Linked DNA regions of Sus scrofa. The protein of the gene in region 1 purifies or fractionates together with the protein of each later gene. This does not show direct contact. Links are inferred from orthologs where the notes say so. Each region holds a gene or a part of one and is shown on either strand. Other genes may lie near its edges.

Region 1 (2,918 bases):
TGCTGCTGTGGCATGGATTTGATCCCTGGCCCAAGAATTTATGCATGCCCCAGGTGTGGTCCCCCCAAGAGCAACTTTTAATGCATTCATTTTTATTCAATATGACAAGCTTTGGTTTCCTTTTCTGCAAAACTGAGATACCTACCATCACAGAGGTGTTAAGGAATTTCATTATTAATAGACATTCAATAAATAATAATCCTCTAACAAGTTCCTTTGATGGCTAAGCACTAGACTGGATACTGGAGGCATAGAGTATCAAGAGGTCCCTGTCCTCAATAAGCTCTGTCTCTAGGTCCACCTACCACCAAACAACTCTTTTGGCATGTAGAAGTCTCAGGGCCAGGGATCGTACCCGTGCCATGGCAGTGACAATGCTGGATCCCTAAACCAGCTGAGCCACCAGGGAACTCCCAAACAATTCTTGATATGGTTTAACTGCTGTTTTGTTTTGTTTCGTTTTCCTGGTATAATACAATAGGGGAAATTTCAAGAGAACATACTGACATGTTTTATAAAAAGCTACAGGTTTATTAATGTAATATATTCTGATATACATCAAAATTGTAAGCAGGCTTTTTGAGTCTCAAGTATGAAATCACAATTTTCAATATTAACTAAAAACAAAAAAGGGTGCTGATGGCCATTAATGTGTTTTAGTCCAAAATGAAAATGCAGAAGATGTTTACTTTGGTGGATCTGTGTTAATGCCATATTTTTCCTTGAGAAGCTTCAACTGTTCTTCCTTCTTCTTTGTGTCCATCTTCTGAAATGCCTGAAAATGTGGTAAGCACCAAAGTTAACAGTTATCAATCTACAGTCAAATGAATTTCACCAATAGTGCCAGCTAGAAAAGAACTCAAGTACACATCTCCCCTAATGGTACAATTTTCCACTACCTCTCTCATGGGCTCTCCCCACATGATGAGAACCATGGATATACTTACCCTGTTGGCATTATAGTACAAGACCACGAGGTATCTGTTACAAACATTGAATCCTGACAGGTGATCACATGCATTCTTGGCATCAAATATGTCTTCATAGACCACATAAGCTGTTCCTCTAGTTTCAGGTGTGTTCCCCCTACAGAGTTGAAACAGATTTAATTAAGATACACATTTACCTGAAAACCATCAGAGGAAATAGACATTATAGACAGGTATGTTGGATAAGCCTGTAATTTCTCAAATTAGGTAATTTTTGTTTTAAGTAAAATAGTTCAGGTTAAACTTCTATCAAGAACACTAACGTGAGGAGCTTCCATCATGGCTCAGTGGTTAACGAACGGGACTAGAATCCATGAGGATGCGGGTTTGATCCCTGGCCTCACCTCACTCAGGGTCAAGGATCTAGCATTGCCATAAGCTGTGGGGTAGGTCGCAGACATGGCTCAGATCCCACGTTGCTGTGGCTGTGGTGCAGGCCGGCGGCTACAGCTCCAATTCGACTACTAGCCTGAGAACTTCCATGTGCCACAGGTGTGGCCCTAAAAAAATTTTTTTTTAGTTCCAATCCTTAAAGACCAAACAATATTAATGTAGGTAACAACTGTTTCTGGGTAATATTCTACTAAGGTTTTTCAAATCCATAAAAATAAAACTGATTTTGTATCTATCAGGAAGGTAGTGTGGGAGAGAAGCCCCTACCAAGACAGCAAAATTATAAATGATACACAAGAAAACAGCCAACCACCATCTTTTATGGCCAGAAAGGCTGTACCCCAATATAAGGAGTTAGCATAGTTTCTTCCACTTTTCTTAGCAGATTCACTGCTTTTTTAAAACACAAAACTCCCAACTTTCATACATTCTTTTTTTTTTTTCTTTTTGGGCCATACCTGTGGAGTTCCCAGGCTAGGGGTCAGATTGGAGCTGCAGCTGCCAACCTACACCACAGCCACGCAGGATCTGAGCTTCATCTGTGACCTACACCACACCTCATGGCAACACCGGATCTTTAATCTACTGAGCGAGGCCAAGGATCAAATCCACATGCTCATGGATGCTAGTCAGGTACATAACCTGATAAGCCACAACGGGAACTCCCCACACATTCATTTTTAATAACACCTGTACCTTCATGCATTACACAGCCCTACGCAGCCTGGGAAAAGAGCTGGGTTTCTAGAGAGACTGGGGTTGAAGTGTACTTGTAGGTAGTTACCTGTGAGCCAGAGCAGAATGCTACAATGTGGCCAGAAGGGTAAAGTGAGGCTGGATCTCGCCCATGGATATGAGACTGCTTCTTGTTCAACTGTTCCTTGCCACCTCCTCTCCTCACATCACAAACTCCCATTAGGGGAGGGGGTAGGGAAGTGTGAGGAGCAGCAAACTGCAGGTGGCAGATGGCCATGTGCTTGTGAGTGGGGACAGCGGGCAGAGGTCCCAATCGGCTTATGTTCCAGTAAGCTAAACATGGATCCCCTTGCCTTTTTGTGTTCTAGCCACCCACTGCAACTGAGGACTCAGGTTTACCAACTGCCATAGTCCCTGCCCAGGGTCAAGGAAAGGCAGTGGGCCCATGGGAAGGGGAAGATCTGGTGAAGAATGAGACTACAGTCTTGGGCCCCAGCCAGAACCTGTGCTTCCTGTAAAAGGGGATGGGATAGGTACAGGGTACTGGGTGGTTAGAGGGTGCCAGTGACACTGAACACTCTCATTCTGTCAGGCAGCATAGGCCTGATGGAGAATTTTATAAAATTCCTTACTCTGCAAATAATCTAACAACTTTAGGACTTTTGACCATTTTCAAGAATGTTTTAGGTATGAGAACTGGGGACTACCCAAAGGAAAAACACTGTCCCGAAGATTTTCCCAAAAAGTCTACCTAATTTTTCCTTCAGAATAAAACCATTAAAAAACTTGGCGACATTTGTGGAGTTCCCCTGTGGCATAGCTGGTTAAGAATTCAGAGTC
Region 2 (2,668 bases), on another chromosome or scaffold:
CATTCTCCACAGCACCCTCCAACATGTGCTTGCTTATGTCTGCAAATTTTGTGGTCTTCTGCTCCCCCAACCAGTGTAATATAGGTCCTTAAAGCCTGCCACATAAAATTCAACACGTATTTGCTGAATGAATTTAAGAACTAATTTGACAGTTTGTCAATACTCAAGATATGTCCACGTATTTCCAAAAGAAAGAGGTGTAATCTACAGAGAGAAGGCAAAGCGAGTCAAGATTTTTTTTTTTTGTATGAAAGAAAAAGGACACAGTGATCACAAACCTCAATAGTGAATGTGTTAAGGGCCTGAGAAAAGTTCCTGGGAGAAGTCAGGGTTGGAGAATATTATAAAGAGCGTATTTAAGTGTCTGGCAACGAACTTTGGCCCTGTGCTACTGTTGAACCCCTCCCCAACCCTTCCCTTCTTTATACCCCCCGCCACCCGGCAAACCACAGTCCCAGAGCCCTCCTTGGCCCCTCCACCAGAACACAAGTAGTCCACACCAAGAGACCGAAACATTTCTAAACTTTATAGAAAAAGCAACGAAGACAGTCAACTAGCCAAAAACGAGCCTCTTAATCCCATCTCACTCCAGCCATATCTCCTCTAACGTCTGCAGACTTTAGGATCTCTCCACTGTTCAGTTTCTCAGGGGTTATGACGGGTCTCCCAACACTTTGTTCCACAGGAAGGCAGGTCGGACGGAACGCCCCGGGTAAGGACCTCTGTACAAAGAAAGCACGAAAAGCAGAGCTATGAAGAATCCGTCCACTTGGGAGAGGAACCCGCGGGAATGACGACAAACCGGAGGAACGCAGAGAGGTGCTCACGTACAGCGGTGAGACGGTGAGGTCTCAGTTCTCCTCCGGTTTGTCGGCGGGCGGGCCGCAAGGCTGCAGCATCTTCTCCATCAAGTTGAAGCGGACTCGCGCTTTGCTCTCATTCTCGGCAATGGCGAAGTAGTTGAGAAGGTCGAAGTGGCCCATGTAGGAGCAATAGGAGTCGCGGTGCTGGTTCACCAGCCACTCCCATTTGGTGGTGTCGGCGTGGCCGGTGCCGATGTATTTGGACTGCAGATGCTCTAACTGGCTGTGGATGGTGTAGCGGTCTGTCATCTCGTTGCTTTTTCCTTTGCTCGCAGGTCAGAAGCCGCAGACGAGAAGAAGCCGCTCTAAGGTTTCAAGCCGGAGAGGAGCCACCCGCCGGAACCTCTGTACACGCGCGGCCGCAGGTGGATGGCGTCACAGCGACAAAGCAGCGCGACTCGCGGTCCCCGGCCTCCCAGGCGGAAGTGTATTCTGTCACGGAATTGGAGTTGCCTCGGCAACGCTACCAGTGGGCCTTCCCTATAGAGAGCCCCGCCTCCTTCGCAGAGCGTTGCATGCTGGTCCATCTAGCGGCCCTTTTCTAACAGGAGCTTTGCATGCTGGGACTTGTGGTTTCCGAGGGTTGGTTCGCAGAGACTTCTTGGGACCTCTGTGTGTGGGTTTGAGAGACTGAATGGACTGCGGTGTTTGGGAGGCAGGAAGCATCCTCGGGCGGATGGGGGGCCGAGAGGAAGTGGGAAACAAGTAGTACAAGGCTGTAAGCAACTGGGGAAAGGAGCTCTTTGTGCAATTCCGCTTTCGGAGCTACAGAGGGTACAGTAGCCGTTTCACAACCAGGGGTGGATCACCCTGAAGTCAGGAAACTCAAGGTCTGACCCCAGCCATGTCTCTTACAAGTTGTGTGGAAACTTCTTTCATCGCTTGCGGGGCCGCCGTTTCCCGCCTAGTGACCTAAGTACAGCACCAGTTCCGACACATTCAGGCCCCCACAACAGGCTCCTCCTTTTGAGCTTCTAATTTTGACATCCTCCCAACAAGTTTCACCCCACCTACAGGCCCTCAGCCTCTACTTCTCAAACGTTCCCGTGCTGCTCTCTCCAGTTCTCTGTACGAGCTGTTCCATCTGCGTGGAATGCTTTTGTTCCCCTGGCAAACACTTCTCCCTTTTAAGTCAGCTCGAAAGTATCTCCCTGAAATTGACTTTGGCTACTCCAGACAGATGTAAATTCTTTTCATCCTGTACATCTCTTTGTTATTATCACTTTATATCCAGTTTTTGGTTTAAGAACTTCCCCACACGAATACAAACTACTTGAGAAAAACTACTTTTTTGATGATGTCTTTTTTTTTTTTTGAGGGTGAGACATCTATCTACTTGATCTATTTGTAGCATGAAATCCACAAAGAAAACCCCAAAATGCGAAGTTCAATAAATTCAAATAGTAATATTTTTAAAAATATTAATGAAAAAGAGATGATGTCTTGTATCATATGCTTCTGTTATGCTAGCCACAGAGCCTCGCAGAGATTGTTTCTCAAAAAACATCTGATGAATGGATTAAAAAAACCTGTATGACGGCCAAATAAATTCTTTACTGGGAGAAAGATAACTTTAAAGTATCTTTATTCTGGTATAAAGTTACGGTTAGATAGGACTAGTAAGTTTAGAGCTCTATAGTTAACTATAGTTAATACTGTATCAATACTAAAAATTGTGAGGAGGTGAATATGTTAATTAGTTTGTGGTACCATTTTATTGTGTATATGTATATCAAATCATGTTGCACCTCTTAAATATATATAATTTTTATTAAAAAATTTTAGTGGTAAAACAGTTCCCTCTG

Evidence for each region. Proteins that work in one complex are often made in the same cells at the same time.
Region 2: the proteins of SF3B6 (region 1) and SF3B5 fractionate together in Homo sapiens (co-fractionation; 5 studies listed by BioGRID and IntAct, with this or other methods). This does not show direct contact. The link is inferred for Sus scrofa from reciprocal best matches to the Homo sapiens genes SF3B6 and SF3B5.

What each region holds. Positions count from the first base shown.
Region 1 is NC_010445.4:114,615,714-114,618,631, reverse strand, and holds the end of SF3B6 (splicing factor 3B subunit 6), read right to left. Parts: intron 1,087-2,918; coding exon 948-1,086; intron 776-947; coding exon 686-775; 3' UTR 509-685; downstream 1-508.
Region 2 is NC_010443.5:21,229,852-21,232,519, reverse strand, and holds SF3B5 (splicing factor 3B subunit 5), read right to left. Parts: upstream 1,257-2,668; 5' UTR 1,113-1,256; coding exon 852-1,112; 3' UTR 832-851; intron 723-831; 3' UTR 506-722; downstream 1-505. UniProt on the Homo sapiens protein: Component of the 17S U2 SnRNP complex of the spliceosome, a large ribonucleoprotein complex that removes introns from transcribed pre-mRNAs.